Elephas maximus indicus: one gene and its partners. The protein of the gene in region 3 binds, or shares a complex with, the protein of the main gene of each other region. Links are inferred from orthologs where the notes say so. Each region holds a gene or a part of one and is shown on either strand. Other genes may lie near its edges.

Region 1 (7,714 bases), about 48 Mb from region 3:
GGAGCTGCATACCAAAACAAGATTTTTTTTTTCCCCTCATTCCAGAGTGCTTTGAAGTCAAAGCAAGGGTGAGCTCAGCAACTCAAATCCTGTTGGTCTCTGGCAGTTTAAAAACACAGTGAAGATTCCATACTAATTCTGAGAGGAGGAAGCATTAAAGCACTTAGAGCAATGAGTGTCCTGTATTGTCCTGAAAACCATGCAGAAGGGAGCTCAGACTGTGCCTATCTGCTGCTGGGTGATGCTGAGAAAAATACTTTTTGCCTTTGTGTGCTTTGACTTTCCATTCAAATTCATTTATTATTGCCATTACATTTATGGTAAAAAAAAAAAAAAAAAAGCTCTGAGAAGTTAACTGAGATTTTATTCTAACCGGCGAAGGGGTCTGATCCACGCAAATCAGCTTATTGCTGGTGAACAGTGTCCTGCCCCAGCTGTTAAGTAATTACTGCAGAATGGTGATAATTTTAACATGGCCTCTTGGCTGAGCTACAAGGTACTTTTTAATCTATATGAAATCCTGCTGTTATAATCCATCGCACAGTTTACGATAACATGAATGTTCAAGAAACTAGTTGTTATGGTGGTAAATATCAGTTTGAACGCACTTAATCACCAGCTGCAACTTGAGCTAGTTACTTACAATTAGCTGACACAAGCTAGATTTTCAGGAATCTATGCCCATTTATTAAAAAAAAAGTGCCCCCCATTTTTCATTGCCTTGGGGTCACTATTTAGTCATTTCATTGCCCTGGGACTTAAGACTGGAAGCTGGTTCTTTTGTAGCTGGAGGTGCTTTGTCACATCAGTGTGGGCAGCAGCTCTGTGCTCAGCTGAGTCCAGTCACAGGCTGAGAAAAAACACATGTAGGAAAATCACTTAATTCTCAGGCTCTTTCTTACCCATCCCCATAAATAGCAGAGCAATGGCTGCTTCCAGTGAGCAGCCCTGGGGGCTCAAGGACTGATCAAATAGCTGACCAGTCACAGAGGAAACACCAGGCTGGGTCCTCCTTTCAAAGCCATCAGGGAAGCAAAGAGAGTAGGAAAGTCAGAACAGGGATTCAAGTTTCCCAAAATGCAGAAGGGGACAAATCATAAGGTCTCATGAGATTAAGACAAAAAGAGGATAGTAATAAGAAAGACTGTATTAACTCAGAAATTTCCAAAGAAATTGAAAATAAAGACTATCCTATGTAACCACAGTGTTTGAGGCAAATGAGAAAATTGTGAGCTTCTAAAACACGGATATGCAGCTAAATGGCATGGATAAGCATTTAGAGCAGGAAGGAAATAAAAGATTTGAGACAATCCGAACCAGCCTTTTAGATATGGCTCTGAATGCTCTCTTTACTGATAAACGTATTGAAAACTTATTTTTAAAAACAAAAAATTGCTAATTTACAAATGTGGAAAATGTTAAGGAAAACTGCCATTTGGAAGAACACACATTACATATATTTCACACTGGCAGAAAAAGTGAATTGAGTCATTCTAGATGATAAATCTTCACTAAGGAAAGTGAAGCAAGTCCCTTATGTCTGTTTTTAACTTATTAAGTAATATTAAGTGTTTCCTGGACCACTGTGAAAAAGAATTTCAGTAAGAGATGTATTCTATTTAAATTATGGTATAGTTGCATACATTTAGAAATACAAACAAAAGCACCAGGTCCTGAAAAATACTTAACCTTTCAGCTCTTACTTTTTCATAAGCTCTGCAATTCTTTGGCATTCTTCCTTATCATAAAACCAAATTCCATAAATGGACACTGCAAAAGAACACATCAAGCAACTCATGAGCATCTTCAAAACTAAAAAGTAGAAACAAATTACCTTTTCCATTCTGAAGAGAAATGAAGGCTGTTGTTGTTAGATGCCGTCAAGCCAGTTCTGACTCATAGGGACCCTATGTACAAGAGAACCAAACACTGCCAGGTCCTGCCCCACCCTCATGATCACTGTTATGCTTGAGCCCATTGTTGCAGCCACTATGTCAATCCATCTTGTTGAGGGTCTTCCTCTTTTTCGCTGACCCTCTACTTTACCAACCATGCTGCCATTCTCCAGGGATTGATCCCTGATAACATGTCCAAAGTAAATGAGATGAAGTCTTGCCATCCTCGCTTCCAAAGAGCATTTTGGCTGTACTTCTTCCAAGACAGATTTGTTCGTTCTTCTGACAGTCCATGGTATATTCAGTATTCTTTGTCAATACACAATTTAAAGGTGTCAATTCTTCTTCGGTCTTCCTTATTCATTGCTCAGCTTTTGCATACATATGAGGCGACTGTAAACACCATCGTTTGGGTCAGGCGCACCTTACTCCTTAAAGTGACATCTTTGCTTCTTAATACTTTAAATGTATACTTATTGTATAAATGAAAACAATCACTGGAGTTAAAGCTTGGTAATCTAGCACTGAAATTTTTAAACCCACAAAGAAATCTGTAGCGGTCTTAACACATAGATACACACACACACACACACACACGGATACGTGCATCCAATAAAGTGTGTTTTCCTTAAAAATTTAGCACTTGAACACAACAGGCATTTGGCAAATGCTTCTTAAATGAATGAATACAGACTGAAAATGAAATCAGAATTTCTGAACTTCCTGGCTTTGGAATATCATTTCTATACTCCATGTACACATTTAAGAAATGTTTTATCTTTATTCATAAGGATTCAGGAATCTGATGCACAAATTATGCCTAGAAACCGCTCCTTCGCCCCAGGAATATGTTAACTGGAAATTGGCTTTGTAAGCTGTGAGTTAGAATAGAGTTCTGGCAAAAATAAAATTTAATAATAAGTTCTGACTTCAACATGTCAGAAAATTTACAACTGTTGAAGGATTAGATACGACTATGATTTAACCATTTAGTAATGAAAGAAAAACATGGTCTAATATAGCTGCTATTGATTCATTTCACAATTTTCAGTTAAGTTATATACTTTATTATGTGCCCATCTACATCAGTTTTATACCAAAGGCTGAAACAATTCCAAAATACATCGATATGTATCTAGTTGAGGATCTGGTGGTATTAATCACGTTAATAATGAATTAGCTATGTATACATTTTCAAACTGTCATTGAAAATAGTTGCAATATTATGATGATCCAATAAAAACTGGCCAAAAAAAAAACTTTTAAAGGGAAAAAAACATTAAACTTTCAAAGCATTTAATTATAGGAATATTATTTGGCCATTTAAAGAACTGTGATATTTTAACCACAGCTTTTTCCCCACTTACCTGATCAATGCCTAGGTATGGAATTTCTGCTTCTTGTCAGTAATGATTCAGATATCAAAAGATAGAGGAAATGTTTTTATCTAGTGCTATTTTAAGCAGACATCTTAAAAAAAGGAATTCCATGAATCTAAACTTATTAGTAAACGTGCCAAAAGGCGGAAATGGGTTTTTTACTTTGTTTTTGTATTATCAGTGTACCTGGAATCTTTATCTTACCTACCCACGTGAGAAGAGGGGAAAAAAGTGACCCCCCCCTCCAGCTCTTTCTTGAACAGGATCATTTTATCCTCTTAGACAGAAATACAGACACATATTTCTCCTTAGTACATTAACAATCTTTTGAAAAAAAGAACATCTGAGTTCTGAAGCTTAATGCTATGAGCCTTGATATCAAAAAGGAATTCTTTCATCTCAAGATCATTCAATGTGTCTCTCAAAACTTTACTTCAAGGTTGTCCCCAGTCCATCAACACTAATTCCCTACTCTGATTCCCACACAGTGTTCCTGCACCCTAACTTACCCAGCCTCGAGGTCTTGTAAGTAAATTTGGATTGGATCATTGACATTCAATCACTTAAAAATGTGAATACGTTTGTATATTTTGGTGGCTTTAATCTTATCACAAAACTAGAAGCCTGGTCTATTTTTTGGCTACCATGAACATCTTCTTTCACTGGAGTCTGAATTTTCCGAAACTGTCAAAGGAGAAGGGTGGTAGCACGGAAGAAAAACCTGGCATAACTTAGGAACCCGAGGCCCAGGAACACAAAGGCAGAGGAAAAGCCAGCCATTGGTGTCTCATCAGTAGAATATATTAATAGAAATATTTTGGGTGTAATTTTTATGGTATTACACATTTGTGGCATCTGACATAAGGAACTAAGTTTTCATAAGGGGAGGATGCCAAGGAAAGTGTTGATACAAATAGCAAAGCAGTCTGACATTGTCATAACCATGAGGAACTGAAATGCAGATTCAGGAAGGGAAATGCTATGGAAACATCTTTCAAATGTCAAAGCAGAATGAAGGAAGGACTGGGTTTCTAGAAACACATTGAGGAGACTTCTTTAGGACAGGACGATTTATCTCTAAAGCATCATGGCTTTAAGATTAAAAGGAGATCCTTTTGAAATAGCTCTTTTCGTCCCAGATAATATTTAGTTTGAACCTAAAATTTAAATACCCAAGGGGCGGGGGGAATAAAAAAAGAGCAAACGAACAGATTTACCAAGACTCCTGGATCTTGAAAGGTGGCACCGAGATAAAATGTAGGACTGGGCCTAATTTTTCTCTCCCTGAAATAGTTTGGCCACTTAAGCTGCATTCCACTGAAAAAGAGGCAGTGAATTACATTGAAGTGCACATTCCAACTGAAGTTTTCTGCCTCTTAGGCCCAAGGTCTCCCAACCCCTGGCCAAACCTATCACTCTTCCACACAAGAGGGCATATCAGAGCACCTCGTGGTGATATATAAAAACCAGAGATCACCATGCCTCAGCGAGGTGATGAGCTGACAGGCTGACAGAAACCATTAACTTCACATTTCAATCCATGTTTTCCCGTAAAGCCAGTGGGGGAGAGGCCTGCGCCTACGTAGGCAGTAAGCACAGCACGGGAAAAAGACAAGGTTGAAAGAACCAAGAAAGAAGGTGTAGTTTTTAGAAAGCTAAAACTGACAAAAATTGCTGTAACCTAAGTTTGCAGCTATGTAACATAGCTGTGTAAACCCCTGTAGCACTGAGATGTTACCTACAGGAATGATTTCTGGGTTTTAAAAAATTACGAGATAAGTGCACGAGCAGGATACTTATTTTAAAAACTCAACGTAGTTATTAGTACACAACTGGAAATTTACAATGTTTCGAGCCTTTATCCAGTCTGCTAAGCCTGCGTACCAGCCGCTTGCCAGTCACCTGTCGGCCGAGACAGAGATGAAGTTTAAGGGCACCTTGGTCCATGAAGCTCAACTCAACTGTTTCTACATCCCTCCTGGAGGTAAGAAATCTCAGAGAATAGGAAGAACATGTTGAAATTTACTACGAAATATTCTAATGACATGTAAAATGTAGGACTCCACCACTCTAAGGACTCATCTCTTTGGCACACCTCTTTTTGCATTTAATACCGGACTTTCAATAGCACAGTTGTGCAGTTTTGCCTAAAATGGCACTGTTGTGGTTTATGTCACGCTTTGGAAATTCTCAACTGAAACAAGCTGTGTTTGAGGGAATAGGCAATGCAATATTGCCTTTGCATATCAATTAAAACATCAATCTTCTTCCTTCCTTTTAATTATGAGAGAAAGATTGAGGACATCAAAACTTATACATTAGATTTCATGTCCGAGTTTTGTAGGTACAAACAGACAAGATAGGGAGCAAGGTGATCATATTCTATAATGGTATTTTCTTCTTTGTATATTTCTTTAGTGGCAAAATCCAAAGCTAATCAAATTTTAAGAGTTAAGAGACCATTACAGGTAAGATCAAATGTCACTTAAATGTACATTTTCATTCGGAATCTTTTAATTTTTATTAGCAGGGTGCACGAATTCATTTTAGAGGTTCTCTGAGAATATACTCCACCTAGTTTATGTTCGGAAACCCTGGTGGTGTAGTGGTTAAGAGTTCGGCTGCCCTATGGGGCAGTTCTACTCTGTCCTATAGTGTCGATATGAGTTGGAATCCACTCGACGGTTATGGGTTTGGTTTTGCTTAGTTTATGTTCATAGTAAATATTTCTATTCAATGTTTTTTTTTTTAAACAGTTCTTTTAGGACATTTATCATTTGTTCTATATTTTACCCAAAATACCTTTCAACTCCAAGTTCCTGAATGGCAAGTTGCAATCATTTAGCCAGGAATTTTTGTTGATATTTGTCTGACTTTAAAGAATAAGGCACATTTCCACACAGTTAGTAAATTGATGATACATAATTACATGAGTAAAGTTTAAATAGCCAGGATATCTGATTTGGTAATGCTCTCCTGCTTTCTTTTTTTAAAAAAAAAATAATTTCACTGTTCTCAAAAGGACAGGGAAATATGGTTTTCATAATCAGTATGTAGCAAGGAAGGCATGTAAGTTCTCTTTTTTCACTAGGAAAACCATGGAAACATGGCAGTGTAAATTATACAAATCTCTTCCGGGCATTTAAGGATAGACTAAAAATCTTAAAATGCCTTCAAATCCCATTCTTTTCATGAGGTTTTTCTTAAATGAGTGGAATAGTCATTTGAATTTAAGGACCAAGAACATTTAATCACAGACTTTGTGTAAACACTTGTTTTTGAGGCTGTTCAAATATAGTATTTCTTAATTTATTGTACCATGTATCTAGTTCAAGTTTACATAAGTTCAGCCATATTGATGATGACTTGTTACTAGCATTTGGTAGTAAGCATACACACACAGCTACTGATGTGGATATGCTACTACCAATCCGAAAGATCACAAAGTACTTAAAAAATTAGAAAGCTAGAACCATGAAGTGTTAGCGCTGGAAGCCAGCTAAAAAGTGTGCAGTTCGATAGCCCAGCTTCACTAATGAGGAATCTGTCCTCTAACAAGCATAAATGGCTTAGTCAAAGTCATTTTTCTGGGTTCAATCTATTTTCTCTAAAATATACTACTGGATCCCTGGTAGAGCAGTGGTTAAGAGATAGGGCCGCTAACCAAAAGGTCAGCAGTTCTGATCTACCAGCCACTCCTTGGAAACCTAATGGGGCAGTTCTGCTCTGTCCTATAACTTCCTATGAGTCGGAATCAACTCAACAGCAACAGCATTTTTTTTTCCCTTTCGAAGACTTTATAAATTAAACAATTAAGTATTCAAAAAAATTTTTTTAACTTGCCAGGTTTGATTATAAGAGGTTGGGAACTAGTCTTTTTTAAACTAAGGTTCATGTGGACTCTCAAAAGGAAAACGAAAGAAGGGAAGGAGAAAAAGGAGGAAAGAAAGAGGAAGGGAATAAAAAAACAAAACCCCATTGCCATCGATTCCAACTCATAGTGACAGTATAGGACAGAGTAGAAACTGCCCCATAGGGTTTCCAAGGAGCAGCTGGTGGATTTGAACTGCTGATCTTTTGGTCAGCAGCCTCAGCTCTTAACCACTATGCCACCACAGTTTGAATTCCTAGTATTGGCAGCTTTTTTACAGCAGTAATTGCCAGGGCAGCAATTAGGTTACTTATGTACTAGAATCCCTGGATGGGAAAAAAGGGCATGTTTGGCTCGTTCTATGTGGATTTTGTGCTTCTACCCCATTTAGAACGCTTTTCACAAAAAATGCTTCCTTTGGCCTTGAAAGTAATGTTCTTTCATTCACCTTCTGCCTTAGCTTTACTGACCAAACATGGACACAATCTTGTAAAACAAATCTTCACTGGCCACTGAGAGTCTACATAGCACTGTTATCTGTGGCCCCTGGATCTGGTTCTTTTCATATG
Region 2 (7,466 bases), about 13 Mb from region 3:
AATATTACAGTGTAGACCAGCGGGGGCAGAAGCCTGGAGACCTGTACAATCCTGAAAGTAGTCCCCAGGTGAGTCCTGCAGCCCCGCCCCATCTAGGCAAGGATTCTTCCCAGGGAGCAGTCTTTGCCATTGACTGAGCAGCCACTTTACATGTCTTTCCCTGGGCACTTTTGCAGGAGAAACACAAGAAATACAAGCATGCATCCTCTTTCAGGAAATCTAAGACCTAAGGTGCCAGATAGGACACACACCTGAAATTGCTCAGAGAATACTTAAAACAGTGTGTGAAAAATTAGGCATTAAAATAATACAAGTTGTTTGTCAAGGAACTAAGGGGGCAGTTTGAAGGAGCAGTCTCACTTCACCAGATAGATTTATTTCCTGAGGGATGTGAGTTTTAAGCTAAGCCATAGAGGCTAATACTTGGTGTTTATGTGACATGCACTCTTCTCTTCCACAGGCCACCACACAGATGAGCAGCAGCCCTGTCACATCTCCTACCCAGTCCCCAGCACCCTCTCCTGTCACCAGCCTCAGCAGCGTCTGCACAGGACTCAGTCCCCTGCCTGTCCTTACACAGTTCCCCCGGCCCGGGGGTGCAGCACAGGGTAAGGGGTTAGATTAGGGCTAACTGCTGTAGAATTCACCCTTCACATCCCACTCCTAAGTGGGGAGAACTGGAGGGTAGTAAGAGGCAGGGAATCAGTGTGGCTGGTCCAATTCTGGGAGCTAACTTTTCCTTTCCATTCAGGAAACTTCAGGAAATTAACATTCCTATTCAGACTAAGGACACCCACCGTAAGGACACCCACCGTTCTCTAGTGCTGCTCCTAGTTAACTTACTCCAGGGTATTCACCGTCAAGTAGAGTTGGTGACTATGAGCCAGGGAAAAGAAGTTCACGGAACCTTCTTATGAATGAAAAGAGTTTAACCCATCAGTGCTGAGTCTGAGGGCTGGGAAAGTGGAACCAGTATGGTTTTAGAAGAGGGAACACTAGATTTGGGTTAAAAGAGATTGAGTTCAGGTTCTAGTTCTGCCATTCACTAATTTTGCAATATTGAGCAAAGTACTTGGAACCAAATCTCAGTTTCCTAATCCATAACATGGGGTTAATTACATATAAATCTTACATGTAATTTTTGGGAATAATCTTACCTGCCTTCTGTCTTGGCTATCACAAGCAATCTAAAAACAAGATGAGAATATGGCTTGAAAACTTAAAAGTGCTTTGAAATGTAATTTTATCAATAATAATAGCTAATGCTTATGGTGCTTAATATGTGCCAGACATTGCTGTAAGTGCTTATATGTATTTGTTTGACCTTCCCAACAACACTAATGAGGGAAAACTGTCCAACATCACATTACCAGTAACAGAGCCAGGATATGAACCTAAGCAGCCTGGCTCCAAGTCTCTGCTGTTTTTCACTATATTTTATTACCCCTCATGTGAGTCAGAAATTTGAGCCCTGGGTTTAGAGGTGGGGAGAATCTAGTTAAGAGATAAAACGTATGTGTAAGGGTCTGTAGGTTTCCTGCCTGATCATTTCAACAGGGCCTTTTGTCTACCATAGGCAGAGGCTTTCTTCAAGGGTAAGGGAACCCAATAGTCCCATTTGTCTGTGAGATCCAAGGGGTTTAGGAAGAGAAACAACTCTTAAATTAGTCACATATACACTACCATCATAGAAGAGGTAGGAATAGTATGCATTGTTGCTGTCCATCTCCCAAACCCCCTGAAGTCTCATAAAATTTATACCGTGAAGCTCAAACTCCTAGAAAATCACTTGCTCTTACTCCCCAGGTGATGGGCGCTACTCCCTCCTGGGCCAGCCATTACAGTACAATCTGTCCATCTGCCCTCCCTTGCTCCATGGCCAGTCGACTTACACAGTGCACCAGGTAAGAGTGTCCACCATCCCCTCCCACTCAGCCTTAGGGCCGTCAGACCCACCTTCTCATTTGGACACTATGTCTGAGCCACCTGCCTCAACCAGCTTGGTAGACAAGTGACCCAACAGAGAGAATGGACAAAATGGGAGGGGCTAAAGGGCCTTACCCTACTCCCGTACTCATTCTTGTCACTCATTCCAGTGCCAAGAGGGAAGGGCTCTTTGCTTCCCAGTGGGCCTAACCTGGCCAGTCTGACTGCCTGGTGGGGTGGGGCCATCAGGGCTGGGTGCTGATGACTGCTCAATCTCTCAGGCAGACATGGGGATAGAAGGCAGTCGATGTTGTTTACCTGAAGTGAAAATTATCTTTTGAATGTTGAAGGGACAGAGTGGATTGAAGCATGGAAACCGGGGCAAGAGACAAGCACTCAAATCTGCCTCTACTGACCTGGGGACAGCAGATGTTGGTGAGTGATAGGATGCTGAATCCCCTGAGAAGATGCCCATGCCCATCCCCACCCCACCCCACCCCACCCTCAACCCTGCATCAGCAGCCCTGGGCGGGTAGGAAACCCAGCTTAGGATGGGGAGTGGAAATGGGAACCTTTTGTGTTCAAGAACAAGGAGAAGTAAGGTGTCTCAGTTCCCCTTACCAAGTAATCCCAGGTCCTGGGGAACATAGTGGTAAAAATTGAGAAGAACACACCGATGGGGCCACTGAGACTGTAACTAGCCAGGAGTCTTCTGAGAGCAGTCCTGATCCTAATCTAGGACCTCTACTTTTGGTAGCCCTATACCCAATTAAGGAGAAGATTGATAGAGGGTATGGGAGAGTAATTCTCCTCCTACAGGTCTTCCATACTAGGCATATAAGATCTCTCTTTTGGAAGCAGTTTGCTAAACAAGAGAAGGAAGGGAAACTGACTTTCGTAAATGATAAGAAGGAAGAATCTATTTGGGCCAGCCAGAGTAGAAAGGGAACTATGGAACATGTATCAGATTGCCTCATTGACTTTGTTAAAGAACACAAGTAAAAACCACATTTAACTTTCACAGTATCAGTACCCTGTGAGAGAGCTGAAGAAGACCCCAGATCATAAGTCTGGAATTCTGATTCCCAGCCTACATCTCTGGGCTAGGAGAAAAAGTTCATCGTTTTCTCCTGGTGGCACTGATCAGAGTCTAAATGGTGGGGAATTGTGTCGATTTGGGGAAAGGGGAGGAAAGAACTAAGTGGGAAAGGCTGGACTTTTGAGGACATGGTATTCGGATTCGGTTAGCTGAATACTCTCTGCCAGGTGACTAACTTGTGTCTCACAGCTATGTCCTCTCTCCTCCCCTTCCAGTCCTAGGGCGGGTGCTGGAGGTGACAGATCTCCCTGAGGGCATCACCCGTACTGAGGCGGACAAACTCTTCACTCAGCTGGCCATGTCTGGCGCCAAGATCCAGTGGCTCAAGGATGCTCAGGGGCTGCCCAGCGGGGGCGGGGGGGATAACGGTGGGACTGCTGAGAATGGCCGCCACGCGGACCTCGCTGCCTTGTACACCATCGTGGCTGTGTTCCCGAGCCCGCTGGCTGCCCAAAATGCCTCCCTTCGTCTCAACAACTCCGTGAGTCGCTTCAAACTTCGAGTGGCCAAAAAGAACTATGACCTGAGGATCCTGGAGCGAGCCAGCTCCCAATGAGCGGAGAAGGGGAAGGGACCAGCACAGTAGGGGTGGGGTCAGGGTGGAGGGGGTCGAGGGATTCTGACAGACCATGGACAGAGGCACAAAGTAGGGAAACATGCTAAACTGGAGCCTAAGACTATAGGGACAAAGATGGAAAAAGATACACTGGCACTGGACTCCCCTGCCATGGTCCTTTTTCCTTGGTTGGCTCCTCTCTGCTTCCCTCTCCTTCCCATCCTCTTCTATCATTTTTTTTATCTCTTCTCCCACCATGAAATTAATTTCTTTCATGTTTTTTGGCCAGGTAGAATTAGGAGGATCCCACACTCCCCTGTTCTCCTATTTCCTTAACATCCCAAGCTCCATTTTCTTTTTTGGTCTTTATGAGTATATTTATATGGACAGAATTAAGAAAAACGAAATTGATTTCCCCTTCCTTTCATTCCCCCTATCTTGTCTCCACAAACCCCACAGAGTTAAAACTTGGACCTCCTCCCACTCCCGGAACACTTGTATATTGTTTGTTTGAGGTTCGTGCCGCAGTAACAGACACAGTATTTAATTGCACATACAGATGTTTGCTGGGTATATTCACTGTAAATTTTATTTAATCTGGTTTTTTTGTTTGGGGGTTACTTGAGGGGAGGTTGGTTTGGTTTTTAAATATAAAAAAAATCTTCTGTTACTGGACGTCAGTCCCCGTTTTTCTCTTGCCGTCCTGGTGTGGGTAGGGGTTGGAGGTCCTGGGTAAGTAGAGCCCCACAGCTGTTTGATGTGGGTTCGGGTGGCTGTCCCTAAACATATGCACATATGTCTTCCTAAGACTGTTCCTCCCCCTCCCACCCCCGCCCTTCTCCCTGCCCATGGCTGGGTTTCTAATGGAGCCTTGATTCTGGGCTCTCCCAACTCAACTCCAGACCACTGTGTGTCCTTATTAGTAAAATAAGAGACTTGGACTGACAAGGTGACCTCTGAGTTTCCTTCCGGCCTGTTAATTCTGTAATATCATTTAAGGCCCTCATGGCTGAGCTGGGGCAGGGCAGCAGGGTGTTCGGCCCAGTACTGGCTTCAGATGTTGGCCTCATATCCTGTCCTATCTAATCTTCTGAAAACCCCTTTAGGGATGGAGTACTTGAGTTTTTCTTTAATCCTACGTCTAGAGGATTGGGTCCTACAGAAATGGATGCTTCTTGTAATAAAAGCTGTATCAGCTGAACTTGCAGTGCCAGGATGCTCTGTTATCCAGTTGTGCTCAGCCATCTCTATGCATCTGAAGAAAGAAGAAGAGCAGATGTAATTCCTTCTGCAAGATGGAGCCTTTCCTGTATCTGGGGCTTCTCAGAGTTGGCGCTGTTGTTCCACGGCCAGTCAGGCCAGGGCGATTACAGAGCTTGTAGCCGCAGAACCAGTAGCAGCCACCCACCCCTGAGAGAGAGAAAAAAGAGCAGTGGGTGGAAATGGCAGAGTACATTGCCCTGGAAATCTCTTGGGTAGCAGTATCTCTAGGCAGGCTCCTCTGAAGCTTGTCTGACCCTACCTCCAACCTAATCCTCTATTTCTTACAGATACAAGGGATAATGCAGCACTACATTGCCACCTGTAAATTTTTCTCCTCTGAGGTGGGAGTGTCTCTTCTTCCAGCCATGTCACAGCCCAAAGAATAGGAGAAGGCCACATCCTTGTGAGATACAAATGCTAGCTAACTCATTGGCCCATCAGTTCAGATACTGGGGTATCAGAGGAGGCAAATGGAACCAAGGAGTCAAATTGATTTAGTAGGAAGTGTGAGACATGCCCATTCTACCCCCAGGAGTTTCTCAGGGGAAAGGGGGTGTTATTTACAGATGATCAAAACTTCCTGTGTGCAGCTAGAGCCTTCTGTCCACTGTTAACTAGACCATCCCTACCTGGTTGTCAGTCCTGCACTCCCTTGGTGCCCCTCAGATGGAAGTCTTAGCCTGTCTTTTTTAGAGCCCTTAAGGTTCCCTTTGGAACCCTGGTGGCACAGTGGTTAAGAGCTCAGCTGCTAACCAAAAGGCCAAGAGTTCGAATTCACCAGCTGCTCCTTGGAAACCCCGTGAGGCAGTTCTGCTCTGTCTTATAGGGTCGCTGTGAGTCAGAATTAACTCGATGATGATGGGTTTGGTTTGGGTATTTTGGTAAGGTTCCCTGTATCCTGAGGACACAGTTTTAATTACAAAAAAAAAAAAAGTCTCTGGGTGCAGCTGGAGGGAACAAAGCAGTACTACAGATTCTTCACTCCCTTACAGGATAGAGCAGGGTACCCACCAACTACCTATGAATAAGAAAGCAGTCTAGTCTAGCTGATAGGAGAGCTCTGAGGAGTCAAATGATCTTCTCTTTCCCAGTTCTCAGCCCTTTCCTTCCTAAAGGTTTAGAGTTAGGCTGAGAAATTGAAGTCTGTATTTCCTAAAGTAGGCCCTTGAGAAGAATAGAATTGGGGAGGTGTTTGGACCTTGGGAAATGGATTGGAGAATCCTGTCAGTAATTCATCTCGACTTCACCTTCAGTCACCTAAAATCCCCTCAAGTGGGTGTGTAGCATGAACAGAAACAGCCCCTCAATCCCTGAATTTAGCCAGTACTGGCCTGCTCACCATAGACAGTCAGGGAACAGTAGCTCTGGGGGATGGGAGGGGTTAGGGTCCAGCCCTGCCCCAGACCTCCTCGTGTCTAATTTCTCTGTGTCAGCTGTGTTATTCAGCTGTCCACTTTCCTCCAGCCTTGTCATTTCAGCTCTGACACCAAGGAGAGAGGCTAGGAGGTCTACAAATACCGTCTGGGTAGCCGGTGTGAGTACGGGGAGGGTACTGGGGGGGCTCAGCCCCCAGGGAAGAAGACCGATCCTCCCCCAGCACTACTACCAAGGCCCCAGGGGATCCTTCTTCCATCCCCAAACTGTGGACTGGCTTAGGGAATCCCCAAATGTAAGTTACCTCTTCATCTTCTTTCCATTTCGAGGACTACTCACCCCAGCTTCACCAATCCTTAGTCTGTTCAGCTTCATTTCTCCCCTTGTCTATGAGTAGTTTATGAGGAATTATTATTATTACACTCCAGAACTAGAGCTAGGATTGGAGGGCGGGTGGGGTGAGGTCAACGGAATGGAGTAGTAAGGGAAGGAAAGGCTCATATTACTCTGAAAACTTAAAATAGCTGAGGCCTGAGGCAGGCTGGGATAGAACTAGGCAAGAGGCCCCCAGGGCTCAAAAAGGAGATAGGGATAGTGTCCCCAGCCCATTACTCTATGCATGCACTTGGACACACACCTTAAACCTCTTGAAGAGAGAGAATCTGGGAAATCAAGTCACATCTCTCTTGCCCACAGCCTCACAGAAGAAACAAAGTGCCCGTAGAAAAATCCCCAAACCACGCAGCCTTGAACACTGTTAGGGCTGTAAACTTGGGTTGCCTCTCAAGGTAGAAGGATGGGTATTGGTTTCAGTTGAGAAGCTCTTTGGTTTCCCTGGCTTTTCTCTGGACCTCCGTGGCAGTTTTTGTTCATAAACCCTGTGAATTTAACCAAATTTCTCCCAAGGCCTCGCCTTCAAGGACCATCCTACTGCAAGGGACAGGAATAAGGGAGAGAAGAATGGCAGTTAGGGATTAGATTTCATAGTGGGGTCCAACCTCTTGCAGGATGACAGAAAAGGAGGTGCTGGAGTCCCCTAAGCCCTCCTTCCCAGCAGAGACTCGGCAAAGAGGGGTGAGTCTGGGCCTCTGACTATTGGGTGTGGGAAACTGGGAAGCCATGACAGCCCTTGAAGAAAAGTGTCTAAATTGATGTCACTTGTATGTGACTTATTGTTAGAATGCCAGCCAGTACCTGCAACCCTCATACCCCCTAATCCTGGGGCATGGGGACTAGAAAATAGCCAAT
Region 3 (6,977 bases):
AGTAGAGGCAGAGGGAAGAAGGGGGATACCACGACACGAGGGAGGCAGGAAGGCGTGGGGGAGGGGCGGCAGACGGGGCGGGGCTCCAGGTGAGAGGGCGGTGTGCCTGGGCTCGGCAAACCCGGCAACGGTGCTGGGAAGAAATGGGTTTGGCAAAACCGGCCTAATATAACTCCTGCCCCAACAGGTGTTCTGCCCTGTCAATCCTGACACGCAGCAGCAAAGGGCCCTGCTACCCAACCGGTGTGAACGGGGTTGGTTTCGAAGAGCTGGCTTAGGCCGCCCCCACGCCTATATCAGGCAGATTTCATCCTAGTCGCCGGGATGGGGGTTCCCTTTCTCACTTCCCTGCCAAGGACACATTGCCAAGGCATCTGTGGGAACTGGGGCAGGGAAGGCCGTCTTAGGCGAGCCTAAAGGGAGAAGGAAAGAAACCAGAGGGTGGAGATAGGGGGATCATTGTAGGTGGGACAGAAGTTGGCACCCTGGCCACACAGGGGTTGGGAGGGGGAAAGGAGAAGTCTCCCGAGTCACTGGTGTGAGGCCAGGTTCTCTTCTTAGCAAAAGGATGGGGATGGTGGGTATCTAGGTTTGAACCACAGGTACTGCTCTACACCGGTCTCCTTCAAAGAAGTGTGGAGATTTGAGATAAAAGGCAGAGCAGCAGCCCAATTCTTAAGGGAACTTCACCAAAGATCCCCCATTTGAGCTCCCTTTTTTCAATCTCTTGAGCAAATTAGTCTTTTGAATTCTGATTGCTTACCTGCCTCCTCCCTTTCCCCCTCCCATGGGGATGTGAGGTAGACAGGGAGTTACCCTTGGAGAGAGGCCTCCAGCCTCCTAGTGCCTGGACTCTTGTTCCTGAGCTCAGTCCTTCTCCACCCACAGTTTCTCACACCCAGGAGGGTGCACTCAGGAATCTGCTTCATGAGGCCAGTTATGAGGATGGAATAAGAAAATGGGTTGGAGAGCTTCAGTAAGCAAAAAATAATCCCTGCCCAATTGTAGGGGGTTATTGCTTCAATAACCACTGTGTGATGCTTTGTCCCGTTTATGGCGCGTTGAAGGGCAATGAAGAGTCCAGGACAGAGGAGAGATTAGCAGGAAGGGGGATGTGGTATAGTGACTAAAACATGTTTCAAAGTCAAGACACCTGAATATTAGTTTTGGCTCTGCCACTAATAAGGTGTGTGATCACAGTCAACTCATTTAACATCTCTGAGACTGTTTCCCTGTCTTTAAAAGAAGTTGGGCTAGACTTCCTAGGGGCCTTTTTAGCCTTGAAACTTGGAGTCTATGAGACCAGACACCAAATATTCCTGACCCATCTCTGCTCACTCATTTATTCCTTCCACAAACATTTATGGAGCACCTGCTGTTAAGTAATTCCTAGTCCCTCTTTGTCCTAGCTTGAGGGTTAAAGGGGAATCAGTTTGATGAGATCTGTGGTAGAAGGCACTGTGCATGAGAGAGACAAAGACCACTCAAACCAAACCCCTTCCCACCTGTCACTTGTTCTCGTTCCCTTGACAAGGACTGGAGAGAGGAATGGCTTTGTTTTAAGATTATCTTTAGTCTGCCCTTAGTCTGTCTACCCCTGTGAATGGTCCAGCCCAGCTGAACCCCTATGGCTGAGGGGACAAGTCACTATTGGGGGAGGCATTCTGCTTTCACAATTCCTTCTCCAAAGTCCAGCACCATTTGGGGGTTGGTTATACTGGATTCTTCTGGATTGGCATCCAGAGACACTCTGCCTTCTTTCTTTTGTGCCTTTCCCAGTTGCTCATCATTCCTTGTACACTCCTCTTTCATTCTGCCTCTTTAATTCCTTCTGTCCTTCCAGAAGGGCAGAGAGAAGGCATGAGATGTGAAAAAAATAAGACCCTCAAGGTGGAAGTTGATTCTGCTGAGACAGTTGCTTTTCTTCCCATCCCTGAATCTACTCCCCTGGCCTCTTCTTTTGGGGACCTCCCAACCCCTAGGTGGTCCTGGGGACTATTAGGTAACAGTGGCTCTGCCATCAGCAGCACTTCTTCCTCACCTACCTTGTCTTCATCCCTGTCTGGGACTATGGTGCCTAAGTCTGCTCATGAGGCATGAGTTGCCATGCCAGCTACCCCCAGGAGATGGATTCAAGCTCCTCATACCTGGGCCTATCCCCTGGGTCCTTCAGGAGCTGCAGAGCCTTCCTCCCTCCTTCCCATATTTCTGAGTTGCTATCCAATGCTCCCGTCCATTTTTCACCTCACCCACATCTGCCTGCTCCAGTTTTCATGCCAACCTAGTGACTTCTTGTCCTGTAGCAGGACATGTGCCTTCAGTATCCATGTGGTTCCAAATCCCTTTTCTTTCCCATGGTTGGGCATAAGGAAAGAGAGCTGAGGGCAAGAAAGATCAAGGTCCAGAGCTACCTTGGGGAGAAGATGCCTCCTGCCTGACTCTGCCTAGAAGAGAGCTGTTGGCTTGGTAGCAGGTGGGTACCCAGGCATTGGAGGACAGCAGGGACAAAGTCCAAATAATCAGTTTTGGGAGTTGGAGTTCTTAGAGCCTCCAAAATACATTCTACCTTTTTCTCTGCATGCATCAGGAAGCTGGGCAGATCCCAGTCCCAGAGCATTGAATGGGGAAACTGAGGCAGGAGCTAGAACCTCTGGGAAGAACTGCTTCCCAGAAGTCTCCAAGGTCTGGGTGGAGGCCCCTAGCATTCCGGCTGCTAGGCTGTCCCTAGGGAACTCAGGGAGGCATCAGGAGAGCTTGGCACTGTCCTGCCCTCTCCATCCTCTAATCTAGCCCCTTCTGCAGCTCCCCAGTAAGTCCTCCCCACCTATCCCAGTTCCAGGGTTTAGGAGCTGGCAGATTCTGTTGCTCCCTCTTCACTTACAAGGTGCTTCCTCCACCCTGGCCTCCTCCCTACTTCCCTATAGCTGCAATCTCCCTGAAATGCCAGCTCTCTTCCTAGCTTGGAGTGGGTTTTCTCTCCCACCAGCTGGGGAGGGACCGCCCCCCTCCACCCGTTACCCCGTTACCTCGTTCAGCAGGAAGGTTGCACTGGAGTCAGAAAAAGACATAGACCAGGCTATCGGCCCTTGCCCCTCCCCCGGGCCCGGGGCTCCGAGGCGGGAGCAGGACCCGGCCGCTGCTCCGCACAATCGCTCCCGCCTGCACGCCTGGCCTCGCCCAGCGCCCGCCGAGCTCCACCGCCGCTCCCCTCCCTCTCTTTGCGTTCCCTCCCCTTCCCTCCTCCCTCCCTTGCTTTCTCTCCTCCTTTCAGTTTCTCTCGCTCTCTCTTCGGATCAGTCAGTCCAGCCTCTCTCCACCTCCGCCTCTTCTTCCTCCCGTCTCCGATCCCTGAGCTGTTTATCTCGGCACCTCCCACTGTCCTTCCAGCCCCTCTCTCGGCCTCCCTCCCCGTTTTCCCTTCCCCCTCCACTTCTTCAACTCCCTTCCTAGAAAGGGTACGAACTCCGGAGCGCCCACCGCAGCAGGCAGAGGGGCTCAAAGGCTGCCCCAACTCCTGAGCTTAAGGCGGAAGGTTCTGTTCCCTCTGCCCCCGCTCCAGACGCCGGGCGCCCATCCTCTGTCCCCCGAAGAAACGCACCGAGGCTTGGACTGCGACCTCAGTGGAGGAAGGGACCGAAAGGAAGAATGCTCAAGTGCCAAGGTGCCCCCTCCGGGTACCGGGGAAGCCACGTCCATCCACCCCTGCCAGGCCCGGACCTGTGGCTCTGCGGTGTCCATCTGGAGACAGCCCAGACGGGATGTGCCCTGCCTGCTCCGGGGAGTCTCTTCTGTCCCCCCTTCTCTCTCGGTGAAGGGGAAGGGCGAAACGAGGCAGCTCCTCTCCGACCGATTGTAGCGCCCCCTGGGTTCGCTCGCCCGGTGGCAGCACACGCCCTCCAGGTGGCGGCAGCCGCCCAGGGTCCCATCTCTTGCCCGGCAGGGGCTCGGCCCTGCCAGCAGGAGGCGTTTTTCTGGCCGGAACAGAGAAGGTGCTGACCGGAGTCAGACCCCGCCGTAGCCTAGGACGAACTCTTCATTCTCTTCTTTTTCGAAAAACTGAGGTCCCACCTCTAAATTCCCGGTAGGGACCCCAGGCGGCACTCTTTTTATCCCCACCCCCGTGCAGGCTCGTTTGAGACACACTCCCCACAGGCCCCCAGACCGCTCCTACCTCCATGCTCGTCTCACGGGCCTCCCCAGCTGAGCTGAGCAGTGTTCCAGCCAGGACTGGGCAGCGGGGCGTGCAGAGCCTCGGGACTGCTTCTCGGGTCAGTACCCCCCTCCCGCCCCTTAGGCGGGCACGTCAAACAGGACAAGCCCAAGTTCTGGCGGGGGAAGGGGGGGAGGAAGGGTGTAGCACCAGCTGGCTATTTCCCTGCACCCTTCAGAGCGAACCTGGCTCTCATTGGTCCCTCCACACACCCCCAGCGCCCCCAGGCTGACCCCCTCTTCTTCATACCAAAGACCGCTTTCAGAGACAGATGGATGCACCCTGGGACTGAATGACCGGGGCCTCAACTTCCACCAACTAGAACTCTTCCCTTTCAGATCGAGGAAGCCCTCACTGTCGTTGCCTACTCCTCCTTTAACCCACTTCCTCTGGGGGTTCTGGAACCCTTTCCCTCAATACCACCATCCCCTGGGGATCTCAGCACACTGACCCTTTCTTTCTACTAGGCTGATCCTCCACCCGCCACCACTCCAGAGGGAGGTAAGTTGGGGGAGAATCAATTCTTTTCTCTCCACCTCCAGCTCCTCTTCAGGCTGAATCTAACCTGGAAGGTGTTTTGGGAGGCCACCTGCTCCCCTCCCTCTGTGGTCCAGTCCAATTGTTCCATGGATCCCCCACCACCGCCCTACCCCCCCCCCAAGTTACTCACCTTCAGCTATTCAAAGGAGATAAGGAGGTTGTGTGTGTGCCTTAAAAGTGTGTGGAGGTTTTTACGGTTTGTTTTTGTTTTTTGACCCTAACTGAGGGAGCAGAAGCTTTGCCTTTCATTTGGCAATAAGCTGGAGGGAGAGAGGCTGCTCCTTCCCGCACCCCTGCTGACCACAGCTAATGGACTATCTCCTCTGGGCCTTAGGGCAGCTTAAGTTTCCATAGGAGAAGGGGGTTGCTGGCCAAGGCAAGTAATTGTCCCTGGGTGCCCCCTTTCTCACCCCTTCTCTTCTTCTACTCTCTCTCCCTGAACTTGCAGCCTACAACATCATCTCGACACCCCTTACTTTAAAATAGAAATATCAATTACTTCTCCCTGAGCCTATCAGAGCGAATCTGAAGTGCATGGGGCGGTTCTGCACCCTTCGCTTTTTCTCATTTCCACCCCAGCTGCTGGACTACATGCTGCTCCTTTCTGCAATGGAGAGAAGGTAGGAACCTCAGAGCTAGAGCCGGGAATCCAGCCCCAAAGGCCCCAGAACTGCTTTCTCCCGGGCCCTCTGTATGAGGTGACAGGGCAGGATTCTCTCCCTTTGGGCCTTGTCCAGGACCCACAGCCTCTTTCTTCCCACTCAAGTGCCTTCAGGCCCCCCATTTCTGGTCTGATCTCACAGTATCTGGGCAGGCACCCTGCTAAGAGGAGCCTGTGGCATGGATACACTCCACGCAGCCATGCCCTGGCTTGGGCCATTCAGGTTCTTGGCTCCAGCATACAGGTCCCCAGGGCTTTGTAGGCCCCCTTCATTCCTTCTCCCGGGGCTCAGCTCACTCTCTCCTCTGACCTACCATACTCCCAGGTTATCAAGACCTCAGAATATAGCCCTTTTGCACATTTTAAAAAGAGGCCCTCTCCCGGCAAATGCAGATCTGCACCAGGGATTTGGCTGACCCGTCTAGGGTTGGATTTCAGCCTGTACAATTGTACTTGGTGGCCCTGACATTGGAAAATCTGTGCACCATGAGCACAGAGAGCAAAGTTCATGATGCTCATCCCTTTATATTCTACTCAGACCAAAGGAGGTGCCTACCCCTTCTCTTCTGAGAAGGCTCTGCTGAAGTAGCTTCCACAGGGAATCCCATTGCCAACTCCAGATATTACTCTGAGGAAGTTCCTCTGACATGAAACCTCAATCTCTCCTGCTGCAACCTCTGCCTTCTTTTTCTGGGCTCCACCTCTGAGCTCATGGTGTTATTCGATGCTTCTAGGCACTTTCAGGCTCCATCCCCTGACACAGCATTTGCTATAAGTATATCTGAAGAGTTTCTTGCTGATCTGCCCAGCAAGATTGCACCCTCCTTCTCACATCAGGCCTCTTTGGAGGGACTGGGGAGTCAGCTATGGCTTCAAGACTCAACTCTTGTCTACTCTGGGCCAGGTAGTGTGATCGCTGTGTGGATTTTGAGGTTCTTCCTGGTATCTGGGAAGGTGAGAGGATCAAGATGCTTGGCTCTCACTCTCTTGCTGCCCATAGTCTGGCTTGGCGTGGCGCACAGTAGGTGTTTGATATATGCTCATTCTTAGTCTTAGAGCTGAGCTTCCCCTCTGGGTCTAGTGCATGTGATGAGTGATTCCAGTTCCATAAAATGGGTTGGAGTGAGGAATGAGGCTGGAACATGAGGGGAACTCTAGGGTTAGAGGAAGGTGTGTTAGAGGCAGGATCTGCAGGATAGCTGGGGGAAGGGGGCTGGCCTTACTTCGCAGCTTTCTCTCACAATAGAGGTAAAGAACCTGTTTTGCCAAACTCCTAACACTTTAGGACTCTGAATCACAACACTGTTCAAGGGGTCCATTAAAGTGGGTCCTCCATTCCCGCATACTTGCAAGCTTTGTAAACATCAGAGGTTACCCTGGGAAGATAGGCCTGAAAAGGGATGGGGTGGTGTGGGGGAGTCCCTGGAAGGAGTCCTGAGATGTTTGACTCAGATTACAGCCCTGGAGGGGTGGGAGCCCTTTGGAGAAAGAGTTCCCCAGTGTGGGGGCAGCTGAAACCTCCCAGGGCTTCCGCAAACCTGGGACAGAGGGCAGGTGGGCATCCTT
Region 4 (7,390 bases), on a different chromosome or scaffold from region 3:
GACAGATGAGTGGTGGTAAACAGGAATAGGACAAGTTAAAACACCACAAAGCATGCTGTTCTTATTGAGATTCAGCCATTTTTCTTGAATTAAATAATCCCTAGATTGCTGCTGCAGGAAACCCTGGTGGCATAGTGGTTAAGAGCTATGGCTGCTAACCAAAAGGTCAGCAGTTCGAATCCACTAGGCACTCCATGGAAACTCTATAGGGCAGTTCTACTCCATCCTATAGAGTTGCTATGAGTCGGAATTGACTTGAAGGCAACAGGTTTTAGATTGCTGCAAGACTTTGATCCCTTTCCAGAGTTCTGAAAATGTTGATCCTGACCATTTGTGCCAGTGTTCTCATTGCTTCTACGGCAGTAAGGATTCGGGGAGGTCCTTCCACTGCCATTTTTCCTGCTATCACCCCCAAGTTACCATACATAAAGCATGTACTAACAGCCTACATTTGCATTCGTTATTATTGACGCTGCTGCTGTTGTTAATAATACATGAGAGAACATGTATGAATCCTCTTCCTCCCTCCAGAAAAGAGTTGTCCCAGGGAGTGTGGGAAGGGCAGGTGGGGAAGGAAAAAGACATGGGCTTGCAGAGAAAGGAGAGAGAAGCAGCAGAAACATGCTTTGGAAGCTTGTTGGGGGGAAGGTGGCACTCAGCAGCACAGTGTGGGTGTCTGGCTCCCAGCTGCACTGGGGCAAGAAGGCGAAGAGGTGGACTCTGCTCAGACTCAAGGCCCAGCTGAGCCTGCCAGTCCCGCAAGGCTGGTCTTGTTGCCTCTTCCTAGGTCTCTCCCTTGTGTGAACCATGCTCACCTCCTGTTCATCTGCTTTGTGAACTCACCAGGCTTTAAAAGGCAGGCGCCTCTCAGGTCAGGGAGCAGAACTGGGGATGGGATGTCCCCACATGTGGTTGCTGGATAGGCTGACCCACCATGCCCTGCCTGGCCTGTCCCAGGGGAGCCAGCTGGATGACGCATCTGTCTGGCGTGCTTGGCAGTGGCCAAGGGGCGTGGGCTTCTGGCTATGTGATATCCTTCTAACACATGCCCACGCCTGTCAAGGCCCTCAGCCCTGGGACTCTGTTTTTCCAAGACAGCTGGGTATTTGAGTCTTCCAGGCATCCTGGGAGAGGGTGGGTGAGCACAGGGATTCCTGGAGGAAGCAGGAGGGGAAGAGAGGCCGGAGCAGAGAGGGAAGCATGAGGCTGGGGCGAGGCTGCAGGATTTCAGGGCATGCAGCATGGATGCTCCTGAAGGGCAGGTCTCAAGGGACAGCTGTCTGACAACAGAGGAAATAATTCTGCAACCAGGGGTGGGTGCCACACATACGACGGACCGCTGCCATCTTGGAGGGACATTTGTGGGGACTGGACAGGACCTTTGGGAGCTGAACCCAAGTCTGTACCTTGCAGAGGATGAATCAGAGGCTGAGAGGGGCTTTGTCCTCCCCTGTGGTCATCTAGGGGGCTCGTGGGCAGCGTGTGACCCGAGCCCAGGCCTCCCACGCTCCACACAGTGCTCCTTAGGTGTGTGGTCTACTGGCTGTGAATATAGTTGGTTCCACATGTGCAGAATCGAGACTGGTCCACCCAAGGCCAGGTGTTCTGGACAAGGAACTCACCTTCAGTGCTTGGTTCAGCCTGGTGTTGGGAAATCGAGGCATATGTGTAAAGGACAGTGGAAGCCAATGCATTCTATCCGGGAAGAGGTTTGAGCTGGCGGAGCTGTGCAGCAGGGCCGTGGTCTGAGGGGAAGGCAGACACTTAGCGACAGGCATGACTGGCTTCACAGGCCAGCCGCCCTAGACCCCACGCTTGGAAGGCCTCTACACTTGGTTTAATGCACTGCTGTTACTGTCTTGAAATTTAAAAAAAATTTAACAAAGAGCCCTGGTGTTTTCATTTTGCACTGTGCCTGGAAATTTTTGTATTGCCATCAGTTGATTCCCACCCATGGCTCCTCCATTTGTGTCAGAGTATAACTGTGCTCCATAGGGTTTTCAATGGCCAAGTTTTTGGAAGTAGATTGGCATCTCTGGGTGGGCTGAAACCTCCAACCTTCCAATTAGCAGCTGAGCGTGTTAGCCATTTGAACCACCCAAAGACTTCAAGACCAGTTGCTGTGGAATTGATTCCGACTCATGGTGGCCCCATGGGTGGAGTAGAACTGTGCTCCATAGGATTTTCTTGTGTGTGTGTGTGTGTGTGTGTGTGTGCTCCATAGAGTTTTCAATGGCTGATTTTTCAGAAGAAGATCGAGGTGTCTCTGGGTGGATTTGAACCTCCAACCTTTCAGTTAGCAGCCAGTGCATAACCCTTTGCACCACCCAAGGACTCCAGAACTTCTGTAGCTGGTCCTATGTATGCTCCTGCCAGGAGGCCTATGAATGAAGCTGCTGGCCCTTCAGCCTGGGAACGCAGAGCCACTGGCCTGCCCGTCATCACAGGAGAACTGCGGGCCGGGCAAGCCCAGAGGCTCGACCACTGCTAGGAGCAGAAGCCCCTAGACTGTTAGATCTGCAGTTTCTTTCTGGAGCCTCTTGTCCTACCTGTCCAGCCCTTGTCTCTGGGTGAAAAGCCCCAAGCCTCAGCAAGACAGAAATAGCTGGAGACAAGTGCCCTCATTTCACAACCGGCTCTGGCTGTCAGCACAACCACATGCAATTCAGAGTCTTGTCCCTGCGCTGTTCTGAGCCAGAGAAACCTGCCCTCATTTCCAGAGATGGGGGGACAGGGAAGGGTAGGAAGTGGGTGCAGGGACAGGGAATGGGTACGTTACCCCCGGACAGGGTGATGGTTCTGCAGCTCTTGTCCTTGCTGTCACCCAGGACGATGCGTTTGGTACAAATCCGCCAGAGGCCGAAGTGGGCCATCTCACAGGTACTGTTCTGGTGAGCCAAATGGGGGCTGAGCACGGCCCAGTGGTCGGTCACCACAGCCACCATGGCCAGCACAACACCTACCAGGATGAAGAAGAGGGTCACACGGACCTTCAGGGTTTTGGTCTGGGACATGGTGGGGTCCTTGGGCAGGACGCAGCAGCCACAGCTCTCAGGGCAGGTGGCAGCTGGGCAGGGGTGGCAGCGGGTATCGAGTTGGGGGTCGGAGCTAAGTTTAGTGTGCCCAGTCGAGCCAGAATGGGCCGGCCTTGGGACTGAGGGATGGGGTTGAGCAGCTGCCCAGACGTGTCAGGGGCCTGAGGGAGGCTGCTATTAATGCCCATCTCCCAGTGTGTCACCACGATGGTGTCTGCTCAGATTTCAGGGCGTTCTTCCCCTCGGGGAGCCAGAAATACCTGAGGGCGGGGCAGGGAGAGGAGGCTCTGGATGCTGACTTGAGACCTCTATGGGACGGCGCTCAGGGTGCCAGGGTCCGGCAGGGGTGTGGCAGGGCATGGGTATCTGCCTGCTCTGGATGAGGGCAGAGGACTCTGGGGGGCCTTCCTGAGTCTCTCATTGCAAGGGGTGGTGACCAAGGTATGGTGAGTAGGTCCTCATCCTGTGAGTCTGGGGGACTTAGGACCCTGTCTAGGGGACCCCCGGAATCCCCCACCCAGGGCCCAGGCAAGGGCCATACTCCTGAGACCACCACATTTCCCAGATCTCGGGATGATTTATGTGGTTCCCGGGCCTGGCATCACCAGCTCCTGAGTGAGGTTATTTCCTTCTCAGTTCTCTTTCCAAAGCTCATGTTAGGGTCAGGAAGTGCTTAATTCCTCCTTGACGCTTGCAAACCACCCTTCTAGGCAAAGGGCACATGGCCTGGGAGGCCTCAGACTGCAGAGCTGGCTGTGACTCAGGCCTGTTCTCACTGTTTTTAGTTTTATCTTCTATTAATGCCAGGTAAGAATGACTTTCCAGCTATGTTCCCTTTTACAAAATAATTGTATTTAAGAAAAAAGAACAGAAGTAGGTTGATTCACAGGTGACCAATAGGAGGCTGGAGTCTTTGGATGATGCAAATTGTTGATGCGCTGGGCTGCTAACTGAAAGCTTGGCAGTTTGTGTCCACCCAGAGGCACTTTGGAAGAAAGGCCTGGCAATCAGAAGAAAGGCCTGGGAATATCACCAGGCCTTTCTTCTGAGGTGCCTCTGGGTGGAGTGAATCTCCAGTCTTTCAGGTAGCAGCCGAGCACATTACCTGTTTACACCACCCAGGGACTTCAATGTTCCCAGCGGGAGCTAATTCGTCACAATTGGCTGACTCAGTGATTGACTTGTGGGTCGATGTCTCTGCTTTACCTCAGGGGTGACTGTCTCCAGCAGGTGGGCCCTCTCCTTGGGGAACACTAGGAAGCGTGGACATGGCACACAGCCTCTGAGCCCATTCACACCACTTGTGTGGTCCTAGCCTCAGGAAACCCCAGGCAGAGTCAGCCAGGCCAGGTGGTTCTTGGGCAGGGGTGCTGGGTGGCCTGAGGCAGACGAACTGGGCAGCAGACCCACAGCAAGCAGCAGCCAAGGATCAAGAAGAAAGTTCTGGAGTTTTAAGGCAGAATACCTAGAAAGAAACTATCGTAGTTTTACATACAAGTAATTGTGGTGTCATTTGAGGAAATGAAAATATAGTCTGACCTCCCTGGCGTGGTGGGTGGGCGCCTGAAGCTCTCAGCTGCTGGGAGTGCTGAAGGTCTTGGAACCGGCCTAGAACAGCGCCCTCTCCGTGGAGCCACAGCATTGCAGCTGTCACAGAGGCCAGGACTCCGCAAGGTCAGCACAGGGAGCAGCAAGTCTGTGCTGCCTGCAGAAGCCCTCAGTCCTCCACCCAGGCACGAAAGCATTCAAGATTGGTGACCTTTCTTTTTGAAGTCGTCTTTGTGTGAATCTCACCAAAGGGCTGGCAGCCCCAGGGATGTCAGGCAAGTCTTCCTTCTCTTCCCCGTTAACTAAAACTCCTCATACTGTGTGGCTCTCGGCACAGCTGTCTATGCTGCCCACAGAGGCCGCTGTGGGCTGCCTGCTTGGCTTCCCCAGCAGGGCCAGCAAAGGGGCCCACTGGCCACTGGCATTGGTGGAATGGGGTAGGGGGGCTGGGAGACTCAATATTCTCCCCCGGGACCTGAGGCCTGGGGCCGGTATAAGGCTTAGTGATAAGGCACATTACCAGTTTAGTCTGTGGTAGATCATCTATCCAGAATGGCTTTTATCATTAGTATTATTACTGATAGACTACAGATGGATCAGTTTTCTCTAATGAGCTATGAGCTTCTGGAGAGTAGGGATGGTGAGACTGTTATGAACTCATTCTGGGTCCCTTCTAGAGCCCAGCCTGGATCTGAGCACAGAGTGAGACTTTCAAAAATGCTTGTTGAGCAATTGTTAGATGGATGGACGGATGGACGGATAGATGGATGGACAGACTGAAAGGGAAGGACAGAAGCACAAATAATTTTCTCCAGCAAGTGATCCAAAGGACATTTCTATGTGGCTTTCAGACAACAGGGACATAAGAAATGCCAACTGGGGCAGACCTGGGACCACTTGGGCCAATAAGCTAATTTGTTTCGAGGTTCTGAGAGGTATCTTAGGAGCACACAATTGTCCTCTGTGATGCCAAGTTTAAAAGGAAGCATCCAAAAATATTGTGTGATCCCACTTGTACGAAATAGCTAGGATAGGCAAATGCAGAGACAGAAAGCAGATTAATGAGGAGTATTGCTAATAGGAGTCCCTGGGCAGTGCAAATGGTTAACATGCTCAGCTGCTAACTGAAAGGTGGGAGGTTGGAGTCCACCCAGAGTCACCTTGGAAGAAAGGCGTGGCAATCTACTTCCCAGAAAATCAACTATTGAAAACCAGATGGAGCACCATTCTGCTGTGACACACATGGGGTCGCCATGAGTCAGAGCTGACTCAAGGACAACTGATTTCATTGCTTAACAGGCACGGAGTTTCTGCTTGGGTAATGAAAAAGCTTTGGATATAAATAGTGATGGTTGAAAAAGAAAAAAAGGGACCAAAATCCTAAAAAAGGAAAGAAAAAGGGAATATCCTCCTGACATCTAACATCGTCTATAGATAATCTTCAAAGAGGATATGCCATGGTCAGCTAATTGGGAGTCATCTGTATTTTGCTCATTTGTCCTAAATGACGGCTGTTCTCCCAAGAAGCATCAGACCTTAACTAACAAACAAAAAAAACGCGTTGCCCTCAAGTTGATTCCGACTTATAGTGACCCTATAGGACAGAGTAGAACTGCCCCAGAGAGTTCCAAGGAGCTCCTGGAGGATTTGAACTGCTGACCTTTTGCTTAGCAGCCATAGCACTTAACCACTACACCACCAGGGTTTCCAGACCTTAACTAGGGGAAGGGAAACATCTCCTGGAGGAGGATTTGGTCTAAACCAGGGCCAGGGCATGCCTGGGTGAGAGCCAGAGAAACACTGTTTGGTAATGTGATGATCTAATTTTGAGCTCAGGCTTAATTAGACTGAGGAACAGCCTTGATGTTTAATCTTAAAATGCTATAAAAAAGCAAGGCACTACTCCACTCGTCCAAACCTCCCTATGCCGCCACTTCATCTCCTGCCTCCACCGCTCAACTTGGACCCTCCTCTGCCAACAGGCTCCCTGCCTCATTTTCATCTCGAGAGCCAACAGTAGCCCTCTGCCAAGGGGGTCCCAGAGCTGCATGTCACCTATCCCCCACCCCAGCTTTCCAGAGCTTCTTAAGGAGGCGGGCAGGTGTCTGTGGGGAAGCTCAAGAGTCAAAGAGTATTTAATAAAGTGCAGAGTATGATACTCGGCAAAGTAAGACATGGGCTGACCTCAAACGGCTGTGGCACATGGCGTTGTGGGAACTTGGGGGGCTCTTTCCAGCTCTGCTCCCCAAATGTTGATGCTCACTAGTACCCTGGTCCTGCTTTATCCTGTTTTCTCTGGTTCAGCTCCTCTCCTCTTCCTGGTCCAGGATCCAATCCAATATCATGCATTGCCTTTACCTGTTATGTCTCATTGTTGTTATTGCTGTTAGTTGACATCGAGTCGATTCTGACTCATGGTGACCGAAGTGTGCAGAGTACAGCTGCTCCATACAGTTTTCAAGGTTGTGAACTTTTGGAATCAGATCTCCAGGCCTCTTTTCCAAGGCACCTCTGGGTGGGTTTGAACTGCCAACCTTTCGGCTGGTAGTCAAGTGTTTTACCATTTGCACCACCTAGGGACTCCTTCCTTTCCTCTTTCAGGTTCCACATCTCCCCGCAACCCAAGTGTTTTCTGACCACTTGAGCGCTGTTTATCCAGGACTCCCCAGATGCCTTCGGTGCACAGAAGGCTCTGGACACCTGAGTCGGGGGTGTGGCTTAGGCCCACATGCAGCAAGGGAGACACACCCCCTGCCCTTGAGAAGCTCATGACTGTTTGGGAAACCAAGACCTTCCTGGGAGGGGCT

Evidence for each region.
Region 1: CACNB3 (region 3) and CACNA1C share a complex: the UniProt entries of both Homo sapiens proteins name them as parts of the calcium channel complex. The link is inferred for Elephas maximus indicus from reciprocal best matches to the Homo sapiens genes CACNB3 and CACNA1C.
Region 2: CACNB3 (region 3) and STAC3 share a complex: the UniProt entries of both Homo sapiens proteins name them as parts of the calcium channel complex. The link is inferred for Elephas maximus indicus from reciprocal best matches to the Homo sapiens genes CACNB3 and STAC3.
Region 4: CACNB3 (region 3) and CACNG1 share a complex: the UniProt entries of both Homo sapiens proteins name them as parts of the calcium channel complex. The link is inferred for Elephas maximus indicus from reciprocal best matches to the Homo sapiens genes CACNB3 and CACNG1.

Annotation. Positions count from the first base shown.
Region 1 is NC_064822.1:56,718,678-56,726,391, reverse strand, and holds the start of CACNA1C (voltage-dependent L-type calcium channel subunit alpha-1C), read left to right. Parts: upstream 1-4,709; 5' UTR 4,710-5,119; coding exon 5,120-5,258; intron 5,259-7,714. Other genes in the region: DCP1B (mRNA-decapping enzyme 1B), read right to left, coding at 1,704-1,770. UniProt on the Homo sapiens protein: Pore-forming, alpha-1C subunit of the voltage-gated calcium channel that gives rise to L-type calcium currents. Mediates influx of calcium ions into the cytoplasm, and thereby triggers calcium release from the sarcoplasm.
Region 2 is NC_064822.1:117,174,001-117,181,466, reverse strand, and holds the start of STAC3 (SH3 and cysteine-rich domain-containing protein 3), read left to right. Parts: upstream 1-4,460; 5' UTR 4,461-7,226; coding exon of another isoform or gene 7,227-7,292; 5' UTR 7,293-7,466. Other genes in the region: R3HDM2 (R3H domain-containing protein 2), read left to right, coding at 1-68, 461-608, 1,807-1,904, 2,277-2,361, 3,241-3,581. UniProt on the Homo sapiens protein: Required for normal excitation-contraction coupling in skeletal muscle and for normal muscle contraction in response to membrane depolarization. Required for normal Ca(2+) release from the sarcplasmic reticulum, which ultimately leads to muscle contraction.
Region 3 is NC_064822.1:104,257,328-104,264,304, reverse strand, and holds the start of CACNB3 (voltage-dependent L-type calcium channel subunit beta-3), read right to left. Parts: upstream 3,015-6,977; 5' UTR 1-3,014. UniProt on the Homo sapiens protein: Regulatory subunit of the voltage-gated calcium channel that gives rise to L-type calcium currents. Increases CACNA1B peak calcium current and shifts the voltage dependencies of channel activation and inactivation.
Region 4 is NC_064837.1:56,870,739-56,878,128, forward strand, and holds the start of CACNG1 (voltage-dependent calcium channel gamma-1 subunit), read right to left. Parts: upstream 3,015-7,390; coding exon 2,780-3,014; intron 1-2,779. UniProt on the Homo sapiens protein: Regulatory subunit of the voltage-gated calcium channel that gives rise to L-type calcium currents in skeletal muscle. Regulates channel inactivation kinetics.